Linked DNA regions of Caenorhabditis elegans. The protein of the gene in region 2 purifies or fractionates together with the protein of the main gene of each other region. This does not show direct contact. Each region holds a gene or a part of one and is shown on either strand. Other genes may lie near its edges. The genes, in order: sams-3 and F19F10.3.

Region 1 (10,956 bases), on a different chromosome or scaffold from region 2:
AAAATTTTTTTTTTAATTTTCACAGTTTCAACAAATAGTTAATATGTGGAAGCAAAATATGCTCTAATTTGAAATCCACTTTTATAATAGACAAAAATTTCAAAAAATCGTTTCACTATGGTATCTCTCTAGGCACTAACACAGGTCAGTTTAGCTCTATATAGTCCACCTTTCAGCATCTGTGTTAGTGCTTAGATGCAGAAAAAGGTAGAGGTAAAGCAGGCACAAAGGCATGCAACCTGCCTACCATGAAATTTTTTTTTTGGATTTACTTTTCATAATCCTTCTTCCCAGACGATCGAGGTTCAAGGTTAATTCGCCGTTACGGTTTCCCTAAAAAAGAATTCTCAAATCTTCAAAGCCTCAAACAGGCCATTTTCACCAGCGAACAAAAAAAAACCCATTTGAAATGTCTTCACGCTAATCTCAGCTGTAAATCTTTCCTCTTTTCACCGGATGTTCGGGAGGAACAGATGACCGAAAATGAGTGAAAAAGAACTGGATGAATGTCGAACAAAACATGTATCGGGAAAAACGAGAAAGTGACGGTTAAAAAGAAATTCGAATGGGTGATGGATTTAACATGAAAAAAAGGGAAAAAACAACTGTATTGCTAATGGACTCAATTGTCAAATAGATCCTCCCAATTTGTAGCAATTTAGAGTTCCGGTTGCAAAACTTGAATATTCTGAATAAGGGTTAAATGTGGACTATCGTCAGTGAGGATTTAGTTTAAATAGATCTTAAATAGTCCAAAATTACCAAAAAAAATACACTTCAAAAAAAGTTCGAATTTATAAATTGCGGTAAAACAACTACAGCATTTTGGCAAAATGCCAAAGCTTCAAAAAATGTATAAATTTCGTTTGGAACCACTTATTTTTGAACGACTTTTCGAAATAACTACAGGTGAAAACTAAATTGTTTCCACTTTTTTAAAACTTCAAATTAAAACAGCTTGAAATTATTTTGAAATGTTTCATTATGATATTTGGACTTTATAAAACTATAGCTACGGTTTTAAACAAATTACCTACTCATTGTATGCCTTTTAGTTTAATATTAGGATGCACAAGATGTATACATATATCGATTAATCGATTAATTTCCAGAATGCACGAAGCACCTGAAATCGACGTTCGAATGCGTCAACGTGACTGGAGAACTTCTGATGAGCGACGAGGATTACCAACAAGACGAGAAACACAGAGCCAATATGTGAAGCATAATTACTCGTGAGTTACTTTATTCAAGTTTGGGAATTTCATTGAAACAACTTGTTTTAGTTTTGCACAAGATTGTGGTGCGATCGTTTTTGGTGCAATAATAATTTTTTGAAATTATATTCCAAAACTTTTTTTCATGAATTCCAAATAGTGATAATCAACAAATATTTCATAGAATCTTATCAACTATTTTGCAAAAAAATTCCTCAAATTTTTTAATTTCCAACAGCTCTAATTCCACCAAAAATAGTTATCAAAAAACTGTCAGTTCTCAAATTTTGTGGAAATAATTTGAGGTCTTTTTTTCTTTTCTAATTTTTTAAAGGTAATATAGATTTGTAGAAATACTCTGTAAACTAAAAAATTTCAGTCTCTTGAATTCAATACAGCAAAACATTTACCAATTTGAGTGCTATAAAATATATGTTCAATTTTCAGAAGCACCAACCGCCGAGCCGAACTTAACGGCTCGCTGGCTTCATCGTCCCCAATGACATCATCAGAAGAAGGTGGACATTCTTCAGATCCATGGAACACATCTAGCATTTCTTCAGGAAAACGAGGTATAGATTTGAGAAATTAAAAAGAAGGTGAATAAAACGTGAATTCACTGGAAATTTTATAACAATTGTGAAACCGAAATTATTTTTTAATAGAAAAATGAGAAATCTTATTGGTCTTGTTCCACTTTGACGCTTTATAGCTCGGTTCTTTTTGATTTTACCAGAATTTTTTACGGACGAAGCACGTGAAAAATATTCTTCTATATTTTAATTTGTTTTCATAAAACTAAAAATGACCGTATATGAGCCGCTAAAGTGAAGCAGTGCAAGCTCCAATAGGAAAAATATGATATCTGAAACTTTTTTAAAAACCAGAAAAATTACAGATTCTGAACAAAAAAGATTTTTTTTGGAACACATCTTTAACTTCAGACATTATCTCGCCACCAATGTACAGTAGCACACCACATCACCACAATCACCACAATCACCAGCAACTTCAGCATCATCAGGTCATCAAGTCTCCACAACCTGTAAGATTTAAAAATTTCCCCAATACTATTTATTGAATCCTATGTTTTTACTTTTCCAGCCAATCACAAAAACGATAGAAGTAAAAGTTGAGCGAAGTGAAAAAGTGGAGCAACAGGTGTCGGAGCCCACAAAAAGAGCACCACCAACTGCAGCCCAGACAGCCTCTTCAACGTCATCACGGATTCAACATAATCAAACATTGAATAATTCAAATGCAACATATGCTCAACCAATAATCCGTCGTCAACCATCATATGGCTCGAGATCTTCGTCAATTGCCACGTCACAAATGAGATGTGATCAATCGGAAATTGATTTTTCATGGGTTAATGAGGAAGAGGACAAACTGAAGAGAGAATCAAAACGTTGGTTTTTTTTTAGTTTTCGATGATTTTTGACTAAATAATAATATTCCAGGAATCGATAGTCTTCCTGAATTCTACTTCGGAATGGATCCTCCACCAGTTCCAAGTGATAATGAGAAGGAGAACGATGAGAAGAGAAACAGACGGAAGAGTAGTGTGCTGGAAAAGACTGCGGCTTTCGAGATTGAAGCAAGAAGAAATGATCGGAAGGAGCCGGTTAGTTATTACGGAAGCACAAAATTCTTAGAATGCGTATTGCACCACATATTTGACCATGCAAAATATCTCGTAACGAAAACTACAGTAATTCGTTAAATGACTACGGTAGCTCTTGTGTCGATTTACTGACCTGATTTCCTTCGTTTCTTCGTATTAATTTCATTCTTTGTTTAACATTCTACCGATAAATAAATCAAAGATGCCAAAAAGAGCCCGTAAATCGACACAAGCGCTATAGTATTAGTAATTTTAGGATTTTTTACTGTAGCTTTCGCTACGAGATATCTTGCGCGTAGAATTTTGTGGTGTTTCTGTAATAGTTGTAATTTGAACTCCTAATAATTAGATATTTTCCAGTCATTCCTGTCACGATCCAGTCATCAATTACTGACGACGTCTGAAATCCCACCGGCTGATTATTCCCCACTCTCAATCCACACGAAAGAGATTGGCGGTCCTGCTGAACGTCGAATTTATCGAATTCAGAAGCAACAGCAGCAGCATTCATCTGAAGATCGTCGTTACCGAAGCAGTATTGCGTTTTGAATATTATCCGTCATTCCCAAACTCCATCTACTCGTGCCTCATTTCGATTCGTCTTCGCTCAATTTTCTTTCACAAAAATTATTCTCAATAAATGATTTTTTATAAGGTCTTATATTGAAAAAGGAAAGGGGATAGATAGATTATTTGAAGAAATTGGGGAGGAATTTGGGATTTGAAATCTGAAGTATGTGGATATCGAGGATATTGCGGAAATACAGGTAAACAAGTGAGGATGGGATAAGAGAAAAATGCAATTAGAACTGAATAAAACAATGGTTATTAGAGAAAACAAGAAACAATCAAAACAACAAATGAATCAGACATTGTACAATCAATGGGCAATTCCATTTCCGTTTGAGATCGTTTTTCCTCCAATCTTTTTAAGAAGTTCAACATCAATCTGAAGATGACGTGGCTGCTCCCATGGGAATTCATTGTGTCCAAAGTGTCCGTTCTCAGCGGTTGGTTCATAAATTGGTTTCTTCAAATCGAGATCCCTGAAACTTTACAATTAACAAAAATATTAGTTTGTGGCTGACATACTTAATAATCATTCCAGGTCGCAAATCAAAGTTGTCATTGACAATTTTCAATAGTTCTCCTTCGTTCAACGCAGATGTCCCGAAAGAGAACACCATCACTGAAAGTGGTTTGGCTACTCCGATTGCATAAGATACTTGAACAAGACAACGGCGACAGAGTCCTGATTTGACAAGTGACTTGGCAACCCAACGAGCAGCATATGCGGCAGAACGATCGACTTTGGTTGGGTCTTTTCCAGAGAAAGCACCTCCTCCGTGAGCTCCCCATCCTCCGTAGGTATCAACGATGATCTTACGTCCAGTAAGTCCAGCATCTCCCATTGGTCCTCCAATAATGAATGATCCACATGGATTGAGATGATAGATGGTCTTGTCGTCGATGAGATTGGCAGGAATTACAGCTTTGATAACCTAAAACCGAACAATAAATATAGCTGTATTTTTATTAATATTTTTAATTACCTTTTCGATGAGTTCCTTTCTCAAATCATCGAGACTGATATCTGGAGAATGTTGGGTGGAGATAACAACAGTGTGGACGCGTAGTGGGACACATGCTCCTCCTTCCGAAGCATATTCGATTGTGACTTGGGTCTTCGAGTCCGGACGAACCCATTCGAGCTCTCCAGATCTACGGAGCTCGTGAAGCTTCCGGTTCAGCTTGTGAGACAAGAGAAGAGTCAATGGCATCGCTTCTTCGGTTTCATCAGTAGCATATCCAAACATAATTCCTTGATCTCCGGCTCCGACATCGTCACTATCCTTGTCCACGTGGACTCCAGCAGCGATTTCAGGTGATTGTTGTTCGAGTGCAACAAGAACATTGCATGTCTTGTAATCGAATCCTGAAATTGAATACTGTATTTAATCAATAAACCAAGAAAATGAGATTCCTGACACAATGTGATGAGCCAATAGTGTAGAAACGAAATTATATTCTTCATACCTTTCGAGGAATCATCGTATCCAATTTTCTTAATGACGTTTCGGACGAGAACCTGGTAGTCGACGACAGCTTTCGAGGTGATCTCACCGCACAACATGATCATACCCGTTTTAGTCACCGTTTCTGTAATCAAAGTAACCGTTGTAACAGGTAAAGAAACATATTGTTGCGATAAGCTTCAGCCCCGTTTCCCGCATCATCCAACACCCGTAGAGCCTGAAATCAGAGACATGAATAGGCGATAAATGCAAAAGAACTACAGTGAACGGTACGAGTTCACTGTTGATCCTTCTGCAAATCAAATTCACAACACAAATATCAATATCATGTTAACACGATGTGTGTGTACTGAATGTGACCGCCTGACTTCCATGTCTTCCGCCGAATCTCTGAACGTTGTTAGGGGATAATAATTAGGACTTTTGCTCATCGCAGTTCCATATTGTTGTTGAACTTTCGCTGAAGGATATCAAGAAGTCCTGAACCACTTACCACATGCAACCTTTGCGTGAGGATCTTGAGCCAAATGAGCATCAAGAACAGCGTCCGAGATCTGAAAATAGAAATCTTCGTTTGAGAAATGACGCGAAGAATGGCTGACATCAAAAATATATACGCATTTTCGAAACCATGAAACTAAAAAAAACCTGGCACCTTATTAATGTTTCGTTGGTTACTTACCTGGTCACACATCTTGTCAGGATGCCCTTCAGAGACAGATTCGGAGGTGAAAAGGAACTTGTGTTGCGACATTTTGTTTGGTTGTAAGGTTGAAACACTTCGTCTGAAAATAGTGGTTCGGTTTGGATTAATAAATAGAAACGGAAAGGGAAGAAGGAACGAATAAGAGGCGGAGCACCTCGTAGCAAAACGATCAAGTTGAATAAACATTATTTTTTGCAAATAAAACTACTGTGAAATGTTTGAAATGAAACATTTGAAGCCATAATAGAGCCCAAAACTGAAAATTAGAAAATCGATAACTAGCCACATACTCCCAAACTCAAATAGCTTTTGTAAATAATTGTTTCGAATAAAATAAAATTTCTGGTAATACAAAGAATCCGGATAACACATGAACATTTACAGAAATATCTGGAGAAAGATTATATATGGCTCGGAACTTTGTTGAGCAGTTATTTTAGCGAAAAATTAAAATATTCGTGTAAATTTAATTAAAATTCTTGTGAAAATTAGAAACAAATATGCGAAAAATGCACAAAAAAAAGGCCCAAAAAATCCAGAAATTGTCAAAGTCCGCAAACACCGTGAGCAACTGTCACGTACAATGCCCAACACATTACGACACTTGTAAAAACACTTTTTTCCATTTTCTTCATTTTCTATGCAAATTTCTATAAATCTGCTGGCTTTTTTGAATTTTCGTCGCATTTTATTCGAATTTTAGCCGATCCTTAAACTAGAATTTAACAGCTGTCTCACGGATGGCGATAAATGTTCTAGATTAGATCTGTTTCGCTAATTAGAAACTGGAAATATCTGAAAGCTTTCCCCTATCATGAATAGATCGAAATAATCGAGATATGAGATTCCTAGATATCGGAATTAACAAGAAAAGTTACGGAAAAATATCGAATATCGTATTAATTGTTTTTTCTGCTTGATTAGGTTTAAAAAGGCTTTAAAATCCGTTTTTTTCAGTGAAAAATCACTGTTCTATTTGAGATATAATTTATTTTTCTATTTAACCCACGTGTTTGTTAAATACGATTAAACATTTTGGAAGTAGTTTCATCATTCTTACAGTTTCTCGATAATTGAGCAAAACACCATGACAAAAAGCAAGTGAGACTACAAACTTAAAAGTACAAGGCCAATTCTTATTTACCAAGTTGCTATTTGTTCTAAATTAGAACCTGTTTTCTTGATTCCTTTGCTTTTTAAAGTTTACATTACTGATAATGGCTACTATAATCCGTTCCTAAAGTCTAGAGTATTTGCTTTTTTCATGTTGTGGAAACTGAGCTTCTGCGCTTTTACAAAAGGGCAAAGTCTATTGATTTTCTGCAAATTGAATAGTTTCATGATCATATATCCATTAGCACAATTACACTGTTAGAGGAAATAAAAACAAATATGAATTTGAGGAGAGCGATGAAAATCGTATGATCAAACATAAAAAAGTATGTCAAAGTTTTGCAATAACTTTGTTCAGGCCGATTTTGCCCTCTCGACAGCTTTTTTTCTTGCAAACGATGTTCTGCACAATAGTATAGGCTGGGAATGATCTTGTTGCAATAATAATACTTTTAAAAAGAATTGAGTAAAAACGTGATAACATAGTGAACTCGGCTATATCCACACGTGAAAACGTGAAATTTTATCAAAATTTCTCGGAGTGCATAACATTAAAAAAAACATTGACCGTTTCATCGTCGAAGAGTGTAAGTGAGTTGTCTTTATCTGCTGAAGCTTTCAATAAGGTTCAGCGAGACTTCAATTCCGAAGATTTTTTGTCCGTGTTCCCGGTTCATCTGTACAATCTTCGAACGCATATTTCGAAAGTTTTAGACATTTATTTTTCTAGATTGTAAACGTCGCCTGTCTTGTTCTCTAAGACTTTTATATATTTTTCCTTATCTCGATTTATGTTCTTCAAAAATATGACAGTAAAACTTCCTCAGTGTTCTTATTTCTAAACATCGTATATTTATATAAATATTATTGTGGTGTTTCAAATAACACGTGTTTCATAATTCCTCATCCTTAGATAACGGTTTGCCCTTAGAATTGTTTTGATCCTTCTTTTTTCGAAAATTCTCGCTCCCTTTTTCTCTAAATCTCTGTAGTTTTCTGATGATCTAGGTTCAACCTTCATGGTATAAAAGTAGAGCTTTCCGGGCTAATATTCACACTTGTCTCGCAAAAAAATTGTGTTTTATTGCAATCTAAAAAACGCCCTCAAAACTATACTTTAGAGCAACGTGTTTCCAACAAGACGCAGAGTATTGTGTCTCTCTTTGTTGCGTGGCGCTCCGCCCTCTATTCAACCCACCTCCGCTTCCTCGCTTTCCTTTATTTATTTGAGCTAAATATCATCGCTCTTTCAGACGGACGCTTTCAAACATCCATCAACGAAATAAAATGCCGCAACACAAGTTCCTTTTCACCTCCGAATCTGTCTCCGAGGGGCATCCCGACAAGATGTGTGACCAAGTAAGTTATATTTGATAAGAAATCGTCTTTTCCAGATAAACAAATCCATCAAATTTTTTGATTGGAAATACGCTACTGTTGAAAAAAAAAATCTGTCAAGTTCGTAAAAAGTTAGTTATGGGACAAAATGTGTATAGTTTCAAACAAAACGTTATCTCCGAAGCGTAGAAAATTGGCCCACGTGCTCGAAAGCAGCTGTCTATCATTCTCATGTTTGTTTTTCAGATCTCGGACGCTGTTCTTGACGCTCATCTGGCTCAAGACCCTCACGCTAAGGTTGCTTGTGGTGAGTGATTCAGGACTTTTGGATATCCTCCAACGAAATGTCAACAACAACATGGAGCTGCGATGAGCAAAAGTCCCAATTATTATCCGTACAACATTCAGAGATTCGGCGATATGGAAGACAGGCGGTCAGATTCAATACACTCGCGTCGTGTTAACCTCAGAATTAACATGATATTGATATTTGTGTTGTGAATTTGATTTGCAGAAGGATCAACAGTGAACTCGTACCTATCACTGTGGTTCTTTTGCATTTCGCCTATTCATGTCTCTGATTTCAGGCTCTACGGGTGTTGGATGATGCGGGAAACGGGGCTGAAGCTTATCGCAACAATATGTTTCTTTACCTGTTACAACGGTTACTTTGATTACAGAAACGGTGACTAAAACGGGTATGATCATGTTGTGCGGTGAGATCACCTCGAAAGCTGTCGTCGACTACCAGGTTCTCGTCCGAAACGTCATTAAGAAAATTGGATACGATGATTCCTCGAAAGGTATGAAGAATATAATTTCGTTTCTACACTATTGGCTCATCACATTGTGTCAGGAATCTCATTTTCTTGGTTTATTGATTAAATACAGTATTCATTTTCAGGATTCGATTACAAGACATGCAATGTTCTTGTTGCACTCGAACAACAATCACCTGAAATCGCTGCTGGAGTCCACGTGGACAAGGATAGTGACGATGTCGGAGCCGGAGATCAAGGAATTATGTTTGGATATGCTACTGATGAAACCGAAGAAGCGATGCCATTGACTCTTCTCTTGTCTCACAAGCTGAACCGGAAGCTTCACGAGCTCCGTAGATCTGGAGAGCTCGAATGGGTTCGTCCGGACTCGAAGACCCAAGTCACAATCGAATATGCTTCGGAAGGAGGAGCATGTGTCCCACTACGCGTCCACACTGTTGTTATCTCCACCCAACATTCTCCAGATATCAGTCTCGATGATTTGAGAAAGGAACTCATCGAAAAGGTAATTAAAAATATTAATAAAAATACAGCTATATTTATTGTTCGGTTTTAGGTTATCAAAGCTGTAATTCCTGCCAATCTCATCGACGACAAGACCATCTATCATCTCAATCCATGTGGATCATTCATTATTGGAGGACCAATGGGAGATGCTGGACTTACTGGACGTAAGATCATCGTTGATACCTACGGAGGATGGGGAGCTCACGGAGGAGGTGCTTTCTCTGGAAAGGACCCAACCAAAGTCGATCGTTCTGCCGCATATGCTGCTCGTTGGGTTGCCAAGTCACTTGTCAAAGCTGGACTTTGCCGTCGTTGCCTTGTTCAAGTTTCATACGCCATCGGAGTTGCTAAGCCTCTTTCTGTGATGGTCTTTTCATTTGGAACTTCTGCTCTCAGCGAGGAGGATTTATTGACCATTGTGAATGATAACTTCGATCTGAGACCGGGAAAGATTATCAAGTAAGCGTTTTTTTTTATGTTTCACTATTTTTACTGTTTTCAGGAATCTTGACTTGAAGAGACCAATTTACGAGCCAACTGCTGAAAACGGACACTTTGGACACAATAATTTCCCATGGGAGCAGCCTCGAAACCTCAAAATCAGTGCAGATATGCTCGCCAAATCACAAGGACCAGCTCAACCTGACGTAATTGGAATTGCCCATTAAAATTCTGAGATTATTGTAATAATCAACTTGATAAAAGTGCTTGTAAGCCTTCTAGTAATCACATACATTTATTTTGGTTTCATTTTCACTTGTTCCCCTAAATTCCATTAATTCTATTCCCCTGAGCCTCATTTAGATTCAAAATCAGTAGCCCCCACCATCCCGCACACATGATCGCTTTATTCCATAATTATTATTCCATTTCACGTATTTATTACTACAAGTTGATCACGATTTTTCGTAATCAATAAATTTGCTTGATAATTATCCTATTTGTTCATTTGTCAGTCTGCAGAAACCTCAAGAAATCTGAAAACTCAAAAAAAAAATCATTTCCTTTATTAAATTTTTTGCTCAATATATCGACAGAAAGCACCAGGTTTATTAAAAGAGTCTACAATTTAAGTGAAATATTTGCAAAATAAAATGGAAGATATAGAAATTAAAATAAAGTTTGAATTCATCGTTGTTTTACTAGATTTGACCGCTTTTGCATCTGTTGATGTATCATTTGAATGTGAATTTTCAGAATTCTCTTCTCCATTTTCAGATGTCATATTGACTTCTCGTGTTTTTAATTCTCCAACATCTTTCTCTCCATCGACAGCTTCTTCATCTGATTTTAATTCTTTTATTATTTCATTTAATTCTTTTTCTGCTTTTTCTTCTTCTTCTTTTGATATTTCATCAACTGGAATTTCATTTGAAATTAATATTTTTTCATTTATTTCTGAAGCTGATGTTGTTCCGACTCCGCCCATTTCATAACTGAAAAAGGATTTCGATGGAGAATATGCTTCTTTTGGTTTGAATGATGTTGCAGAAGATGGAGTTACGGAAGATTCGGATGGTTTTTTAGTTGGAGATGGTGTAGACGCTTTGTGCTTCTGATTGAATTGCTCATTGAGTTTTGAAGCTTTTGAGCTGGGACGAGAGGACACTTTGGTGCCTGAAAATTGTTT
Region 2 (9,167 bases):
TAATATTTAATAAGGAATCACTATTTATGCTGCAAATAGAATATGTTGAAAGAGAAGCTGAAAACTTGCCAAAAGAGTCGCCAAGCTTTCATGCTACATTTTTGGATCGTTAACTTTTTCAAATCGGATGTTCTAATTTAGTTAGTTTTTGAAGAACTGAATATTGAAATTTGAGTTTTAAAAAAATCGAAAACTATATTTTACACTGTCGAAGTGTTAGTTTTTTAAAGCGTTTTGCGTATCAAGTACGGGACAAACCCTTAATTTATGCACTAATTGTAAGTTTTTGAATATATAATTCATTTCCTGCTTATGATTTGTTTTTGACATATGTCATATTCTAATTAGTTATTCCAAGAATCAAATCCAATTTGAACTTTTCTCTCGAATAATAGTGTCTGATTTCCAATTTTTAATCTAACTTTTTCAGAGCAAGGTTGTATTTTTTTCTGAAAGAAAATTAAAAACAAAAACAAGAAATATTTTTTCAGCAGTTATATGTACTCTTTGGAGTTTTTTTCTGGAGGTGGTTTCCTCACAAGTTATTCATAATTTCATTGTCTCGTAGATGTGATTAGTCCGTTTTGACTTGATTCTTGATACTTTTCCTCCAAAAGAGTGTGGGAGTTAGTCACGGAGTCTACATTACCTATCCAGCAGACCTTTAACTTTGATTGAAAAATTGGTTACAGAACATATGATTGAAGTTCAAAACTAGAACATTTTCAGGTATTTATAAAGCTGTCGGGTTACTGAAAATGCCACAATTGTAGTGACCTTAAAGGAGGTCATTTATAGGCTTATTTGAGAGATCATGCCTGTCTGCCTACATGCCCTCTGGCGTTCCGATTTTCGCAGAGTGATACAAATTCATAAATTTTTAAACTTCAAATAATTCAATGAAACTACAAGCCTTTTCAGATTTTTTCTTGGAGTCTTTTCCAGGATCCATTCTAAATTTCAATGTTAAAAAAATCACAATATAAAATCTCGGATACGTAATCTGCTGTAGAGCAATTAAACCTAGTTCTCATCCCTATAATTATTATTTGTCCAGAAATATATTATTATTATTATTATTTTCAGTTCCATTTTATTCCAGTCAAATTATAAAAAATATATATATCGAAATTATAATAGTTCTAGAAGATATTTTTCGTCTGAAAAGTACATTTATGGTTTTTCCATTCAAATCTGAAAGTGAGGCTTCACTAATCTTTGAGCCCAAAAAATCCTGTTTTTTAAAAACCATAAAAATCACGGAACATGTGCTTTTCTCAGTTAGCTCGAAATTGCCACCAGGTGTTTGTCGGGCGGACTTGGAAATAATTTTATGTGGCCATATGCTTTATGTTTTTCAGATGTGCCGAGAATAAATTGTACAAAAACCGACATTTCTGATCTTTGTCAACAGAAACGAAATATTTTTTCCTAGAAATCAAGTTTGTTCCGCCAACTGAAAATCTGATTTCAAAATAAAATTGAATATAAACCTAATTTAAAGCTTATTAAATCATGTTTGTGTTCCTTTCAATTTTTGCTGCCCCTGATCAAGCTGAACAAGGAACCAGTATTTTCCAAGAATTTTTGTCATTTTTCATAGGTTGTTTGCGCTGGCAAGTCTTAAAATATGTATGTTATTTGTTCCATTTTTTTACGCATTATTGTATTCAAATTCCAAATTAAATCGTTTAATGTTACATGCCAAATTTCAGATTTTTTGTTGCAGTTGGTTCCTTCCATTTCAACAACAAAAATTAAACAGAGCTTCGTCCGAAATTGGCGCCGGAATTACGTTGCGACATGTGGAAGCTGGTGAGTAATGTGAGCACAAAGTTGTTTCACATAGAATTTAAACAAAAACAGGAAACCTCAAATATCATGCAGACTCGTTTTATTAACTCGAAATTTGCATGACAATTCAATCAATACCCTAATTTTTCAGATATTGCTCATTTCTCTTGGGTTCCCTATTGTCAATTCCATTGGCGAAGGATCGTTCCACGTCAGCGGTCGCTTGATGTGCGGTGGGAAGCCATACGCCAATGAAAGTGTTTCCATCTATGAGAAAAACTACAGTAATATTCATATTTAGTGCATTCAGGGTTAACAGAATATTTTCAGTGTTAACCGATATTCTGATGGAATCACTTTTTACTGATGAAGATGGAAACTTCTCTGTTAAAACTTTTGGAAAAGACTGGCCCCACTTCACACCTTATCTCTACGCGCCAAATTATTGTAAACCAGTTGATAACTTTGTCGTGAGTTTGCAAACAATAACTTCACATTTGAAAATATTTTTTTTAGTTTGCGGACAGAGAATGCACAGACTCGGCTTTGCAAATCTTGATTCCAACAGAATTTGTTTCCCCAACACGTACTCCAACCAAGGTAATTGTGGTGAAAAAGGTATAAGCTTAATTGACATTTTCCTAGATTTTCGACATTGGTGAAATAGACATGTCGGCTGATGAAGTCAAATACGAAAACGTTGGATTGGGATCTGTCGGAGGAGGATTTCTTGTAAATGACAAGAGATGCAAGTATAGAAACTCAACGAGTACCTGACTACAATCGTAATAGACTTGATTCAATTTTAAATACAAGATATTTGACATACAACTATTATTTTTTGAATAAAAATGAACTGTAGTACCTATAACTATTATATTAAACAACTCGTTTTTCATAAAACTGTTTTTTCCGCATCCACAAATAATATTTTGACATTGAAATTGTTGAAAATGCAACTTTCATTTTAATGTTTTTACTGGTTAAGGAAAAATATAAGCTGAATTTTATTTTCAAATTTTTCACGATATGAGCAAAAGTTTATTGTGGTGCTGGAGCCTTGAAAGTGACACACGAATTACGAATCTTCCAATTTCCATCTTCCTTGACCCAGACACTCAAAGCCCATCCAGTTTTGTCACCAGATGGAAGCTTGACAATAATTGTGTTCCGTTCGATGACAACGTCTCCAATTTGTGTGACCTCGTCAGTTGTCATCTCAAAGTCAGCTTTGACAAGAGGTGCAAGATCGTCACTTTTGGCCAAGCTAATTGAATCTGCAGCGGTCACTGGGTCGTGGAATGGTGCGAGGAAGGTAGCGTCCTTGGCGGCGAATCTTTCGACAAACTCTTCGTGTTTGCCTGCATTTTTAAGCTCTTTTATCTCATTCCTGAGCTTTTTGAATTCTTCAAGAGCTGAAAGACAATTTTTTAACATTCATTATAATACTAGACTATCTTTGTCGACATGTATGTAATACACATAGTTTCGTTTAAATTGGAAAATAACTTACACATGACAATGCCAGTAGAGACCGAATAGCAACTTTTTGAAGTTTTCACGCTGCCTGTTGATTTTTATACTTCCAGTTCCATGTCTCCTCCCAGTACCCACCCAAAACTTGCGAAAGTCTAGTTGCGTTGTTTTCAAAATTGTGTTGTGATCTCCTGACCCTTGCACATCTGTTGCTCTTCAAGTTGTAGTATGAAATCTTGTGGAATGTTTAGTTCCGATCAAAAATTTCAGGAAGCTGTGTGATCTTGTATCTCTTCAGTGAACAACTTCCCCACCCTCGCATTTTAACATTTCTAGCAGCTGGCTTTCCAACTACATGACACAATTTCATAAAATGTTAAAATCCTAACTTAGTACAAGTTGTCATAAAATTGAGACAAATGACGATTAAAATAGATTTTTTTCAAGTTTATTTAAAGCTTGTGAACGTGTATGACAATATGAAACGCCAGTAATTTCAGATTTGAATGCATTTCTTTAACAATTTTTAGGTTTATTTTTCTAATTTTCCGCAGATTTGTATAATTGAACATTTTTTTGTTCAGTAATAATTAATCTTTGTGCTGTATCATTATGTTAAACAAAAACATTTCATAATCGTATTATTATAATCTTTCTGCTTACTGGTTCTGCCGAGATAAATTTATTCAGAAAAAAATGAATGCAAATGTTTTTCACCATTTTCCTTTTTGTAGGGTTTGATTGTGGTTTGCTTCAAAGGCTCTAGTGTAAACCTGAAAAGCAATTGCATCGGATTTATTCATTCGTGCATCTAGACTGTTGTCGATGATATCCGCAAAAACATAATATTCATCATCAGGAAGATCGGCGACCTTCATGAGAACCGTCAAGTACCAGTAGGTCAGGGTATAGAGGAAGTCGTTAGCATATCGGCTGTCAAAGTACGCATAGAGGTCTCGGTGCTAAAATAAAATAATTAATTTTCTAATCTCACAAACTAACAAAAACAACTATTTTTCTACATCTTTTTTATTTTTACTCCGCAGCATGGGGTTACAGCGGATGTTTTAGAAAATGACCTCGTTGGTACATTAACATCAAACTAAACGTAGAAATAAAGAAATCTAACTGTAAAGGGACACTTATATAATCAGAATACAATTTGTTTGAAAAGTTTTATATTTTACCAGGATTGCAGTAGGCTTATCGAAGAACTTTGTGATGCCTGGTATCAAGTCCTGTGTCCACCATTGAGTGACTGATTGTCTCTGAATTTTGATCTTTTCGTCTGAAATTTTCTTAGAACAAAACCAACATTATTCACCAGCGCGATAAGCTTCTGCTTGCTGTACGTAGAATTGACATAAAGCGACAATGTCTTTGGGTTTGGTTTTCCTGCTTTATTCTGATTGAAAAACTTATTTACGAGGTTTCGCATGACTGGAAAATTTCCAATATTTTGGTTGAGACCTTGAGCAAGCTGAACTGTTTTTTCATAATTGAACAACTATAAGTGAGACTTACAGCAAATGCATTTGCATCCGTTGCATGGGGAATAATTTTCTGGATGGCAATTTACGATACAGACTGAAATTTTACACAATAACGTATTGAATCATGTGCTCATGGGTGGTAGACACGTTTTAATTAAAAAAAAAAAAAAAAAAAAAAAATCTAAGAAATAGTTTAAATATTATTAAGAAGGTGTTTTCAGGTCAATTTTTTGAACGAAAATTATAATGAAAGAGAGCCACGTGGCAGCAGCATTTATATTTTTCAGAAAACCCACAACTTACTCCGAATGCCTGCTGAGTACCTACAATAGAAAAAAGTTCCAGTGCACAAAATACAATGGGAAAAAGACACCTCTGCATGGTAGATTCGGTATGATTTTAATGGTGGCGGGCTTTTTTACCGAGGCGACAAATCCCTGGACAGATTAAAAAGTAGAATACGGAAATTCAAAAAGATACATTGAAATTTTGTGAATCAATTAATAATCTGTCGTGATTTGTGCAGAGGTGAACAAATCATGCGGGTTTTTCTATGATTTCAAACACAGGCAAAGCGGGTACGGTCCGTTTACGGATCTTGGACCGGGATCGGACCATTAACGGGTGAACTACGGATATGAATAGCGGGACGGACCAATTACGGGCAAACTACGGGGAATGTAAAAAATGGCCATTAAGAGGAAAAAATGGATTTTAAGAAAACGAATTGTTTTTAATACCTATGATACCAGTTGGCTAATTTAAGCATTTTTACGTCGTTAAATGCATTATTTAGAGCAAACACCACATTTACCGACCGAGATGGCTCTTGAGCCGTAGTTGGGCCGTTTCCGGTCCGTAGAAGGTCCGTCGCCGGCCCGTAGACGGACCGTAAATGAACCGTCCCGGGCACCAAATTTTTGTTTTTGAAAATTTCAGGTTCTAGCACGGAAAAAGTGCTGAAATTAGCTAAAGGAGAGTACCCTCTCCTTCTCTCTTCGGCACTTCAAAAACTCCATTTTCATGAAAAATTTTTTCGTATTATCCTCCGTTTTGGTGATCATCCGTAGTTTGGCCGTAGCCGGTCCGTAGATGGTCCGTAAATTACCCGTCCCGGTCGGCAAAACTGCACTTTTTAAAACTAAACCTTGAATCAGGCAAAAAATTAACCAACTGGCTACAATGAACCAAATAGCATTGTAGGTACTTCAAAAACTCAATTTTCATGAAAAAAAAATTCCTCTGGGCAACCATTTTGTCTATCATCTGTCCGACTGGTCCGTACGCGGCCCGTAATCGCATGCGATCTAACTGAGGCTATTAAGCAGAACATTGTGTGTAAAAGAGGTTATATTAATGTATATAAAAATATCAATAAAAAAGATGAAATGCCACAATTGGGTAGATACTGTGTATACGCAACGTTCACTCTCTCTCTGCTGGTCTTCTTCAGCTGAGCAACAGGAGCATTTTTTGAAATATCATAAAATATTTTACTAACAATACATTCTGGAATCATTCCTGATATCGTTTCTGTTCCGTGTGTATTTTAAGAAATTAAGGTATCATTCAAGTAGAACGCATATACCTTATTTCCTCTATTAGTCTTGCAACCCTACGGTCCAATCGAAAATTAGTCTTGCATGCAAGACTAATAGAGGAAATATGGTAAGTACCATTTCTGTATTACAAGTAGATGGAGCACAAATAGGTAGATGTTGAGAAATATGCGAAATAAGTTCTGGACTACACGAAACTGTCAATTGTTATCGTTCGTTTTCATATAAGTCCAACGGCAAGATGGAGAATCAGAAACTACTGAAAATACAATCGAAAAAGTTGGTGTAAGCCGTGAAAACCAGAAGAAAATGCGCTGATCGCTATTTATGCGAAGTCTCTTGATATTCCTCGCGTGCGCGAATGGCCACACGGAAAGGTGATGGGCCAGTAATCAATCGACAGGCAGTGGACAAGTTCAACCCCGGCTGAGGCAGATAGAATTGCTACAACGAAGGATCACCGGAAGACGGTCTGGAGGAAGACCGGAGCTTGGAGCATTGGGAAAGAAAAAGGGGGCAGCTGGAGGGTGAAAAAATTTTCCCATTTTTTAGTCTCCTTACGGTTCAATTACGGTCCGTTGACGGACCGGGAATCGAACCGTGAACTGTTCTTTAATTTGAGCCGTTCCCGGTCCGTGAACGGACCGTTTTGGGCACTTTCCGCTTTGCCTGTGAAAAAACAGTTCCACTGAAAAGTGTTTTTTTGTAATTTTTGATACTTGTTCAAGTTATTAAATGGTCTGCTCAGTTTTCAGTGTTTTTTTTTTGAATTTCGCTTTAACCTGAACCATCCTAATTCAAAAGTATCAATATTCTGACGCAATATTTAAATTTTTTTTGTTAAACTATATCACTTTTTCCATCCAACTTTTGACTGTCAACAGCTCACGTAGCCAATGATAAGAGCGGCACGTACCGTTTGTTATCACTAAATTTTGATGCACGTAGCCAAAATAAATGCTAATCAACATGTCTTAGGGCAGCTCATGTGATGCCGAGACAACCATACATCAACGTTAAGAAAGTGTAGATCATCATTTGATGAGAATTGGGTTTTGTTTGGATCAGGAAAAACCGGAACTTTTTATTTCAGAATTTAGGGCGTTCACTGGAAACGTTCTAACAATACTGGTATAATTTATCTCCCAAAAAACACTTTTCAAGTTTATAACCTATATCTAAGTTTAAAAATTTTGAGTACAGGACAAGTATGAGTTTACGAAGCATCATATTAAAATCAAAATGTAATGTGAATGTGGACGCTAGAAAGCCAGGCGAAAAGGGACATCACACTTCTGCAAAAAGTTATTTTCATTCGGCGATCCTTGGATGTAGTTTTCTTACAGAAGGTTAAGCTTCTCAAAATGTACTTCAACACTTAGGTTTCCATATTAGTTCATTGAAACGCATGTTTCTGTAAACAAGAACCCTTTCGTTGCCAATATGTAATGTGCAAAAATCATAATCAGTTTATCAATGATCACAATCACAAACTCCGCCCCCAGAGTTGTCCAGTTTAAAAACACCCACAGTCCCGGACACGTAATCAAGTCATTATATTTTCTGCCAAGTAAATCGTCATGTCTCTAGCTCGTCAAAACTATCACGATGAAGTCGAAGCGGCCGTCAATAAACAGGTATGATCATTGTTTTGACAAATGGGAAAAATATATTAGGAAGGTTGGAAATTGAGAAGAGATTTAGAAAAAGAGAGGATGTGTCGTGAGAAAATTAATCACTGATGTCTGGTTACTTTAAATTAGGAATTTAACTGATTAATAAAAACATTGAAACACACCACACGCTTATTTTTCCAACCGGCAACATTTTGTTTTTTTTTAACGAACAAGGGCAGGCAGACAGTACCTGAAGAAGCGCAATTTGATCATGGCAGCGTCGATGATTTCTTTGCTCTTATGCCAGTCATCCAAAAAAAATATACAGAATAGGCGGCAGTAGATAGACGAGCACGTGAGACTGAAAGCGTCTACAATAAAAATCCTATCTGAGCTTGCTTTTGAACTGGACGAAATTAACACTGAAATGCTTTTAAAATTAGAAGTATTACTCAATTAAAAGCTTAAATTACCTTTCCAGATTAACGTAGAACTCTACGCCTCCTATGTCTATCTATCGATGTCTGCACACTTCGATCGTGATGATATCGCACTTCGGAACATTGCCAAATTTTTCAAGGAGCAATCGGATGAGGAGCGTGGCCATGCCACAGAGCTCATGAGAATTCAAGCTGTCCGTGGAGGACGTGTTGCCATGCAGAACATTCAGAAGCCAGAGAAAGACGAGTGGGGAACTGTCCTTGAAGCATTTGAAGCCGCACTTGCTCTAGAGAGAGCCAATAATGCATCTTTGTTGAAGCTTCATGGAATCGCCGAACAACGCAATGACGCGCACTTGACAAATTACATTCAGGAGAAGTATTTGGAAGAGCAGGTTGGCATTTTCAGTTTAAACTCCTATTTTTATAACGTTTATTAAGGTACATTCGATCAATGAATTTGCTCGCTACATTGCAAATATCAAGAGAGCCGGCCCAGGACTCGGAGAATATTTGTTCGACAAAGAGGAATTTTCTGATTAATAATTTTTATTTGATGTATTTATTGTACATATGGATGAAATTGTATATTTACTGAAATGAAACACATTGAAAACTTCAGAGATTAGCAGTTCCTAAAAAGGTTCAACCTTTTTTCAACCTTTGTGGCGGAAATCTGAGACACATAAGGTGTTTTTTAAATGTTTATTTGGAAAAACCGTTAGTATATGGAATTAATACAATATAAGGGAAATATTTTGTATTGAAGCTTACAAGAAGCTTTCATTG

The links.
Region 1: the proteins of F19F10.3 (region 2) and sams-3 fractionate together in Caenorhabditis elegans (co-fractionation; one large-scale study listed by BioGRID). This does not show direct contact.

What each region holds. Positions count from the first base shown.
Region 1 is NC_003282.8:5,843,366-5,854,321, reverse strand, and holds sams-3 (putative S-adenosylmethionine synthase 3), read right to left. Parts: upstream 5,666-10,956; 5' UTR 5,635-5,665; coding exon 5,563-5,634; intron 5,518-5,562; exon of another isoform or gene 5,483-5,517; intron 5,435-5,482; coding exon 5,374-5,434; exon of another isoform or gene 5,005-5,373; coding exon 4,882-5,004; exon of another isoform or gene 4,781-4,881; coding exon 4,398-4,780; intron 4,347-4,397; coding exon 3,937-4,346; intron 3,891-3,936; coding exon 3,725-3,890; 3' UTR 3,479-3,724; downstream 1-3,478. Other genes in the region: C06E7.4 (SH2 domain-containing protein), read left to right, coding at 1,113-1,235, 1,665-1,789, 2,162-2,262, 2,322-2,628, 2,681-2,844, 3,205-3,393; sams-4 (putative S-adenosylmethionine synthase 4), read left to right, coding at 7,987-8,058, 8,284-8,344, 8,718-8,840, 8,942-9,324, 9,376-9,785, 9,829-9,994; C06E7.2 (uncharacterized protein), read right to left, coding at 10,396-10,943. UniProt on the Caenorhabditis elegans protein: Catalyzes the formation of S-adenosylmethionine from methionine and ATP. The reaction comprises two steps that are both catalyzed by the same enzyme: formation of S-adenosylmethionine (AdoMet) and triphosphate, and subsequent hydrolysis of the triphosphate.
Region 2 is NC_003283.11:7,546,299-7,555,465, reverse strand, and holds F19F10.3 (DUF4440 domain-containing protein), read right to left. Parts: upstream 3,346-9,167; 5' UTR 3,312-3,345; coding exon 3,308-3,311; intron 3,210-3,307; coding exon 2,836-3,209; 3' UTR 2,758-2,835; downstream 1-2,757. Other genes in the region: ttr-10 (Transthyretin-like family protein), read left to right, coding at 1,804-1,815, 1,946-2,078, 2,125-2,264, 2,311-2,394, 2,440-2,571; ftn-1 (Ferritin), read left to right, coding at 7,903-7,959, 8,420-8,773, 8,820-8,921.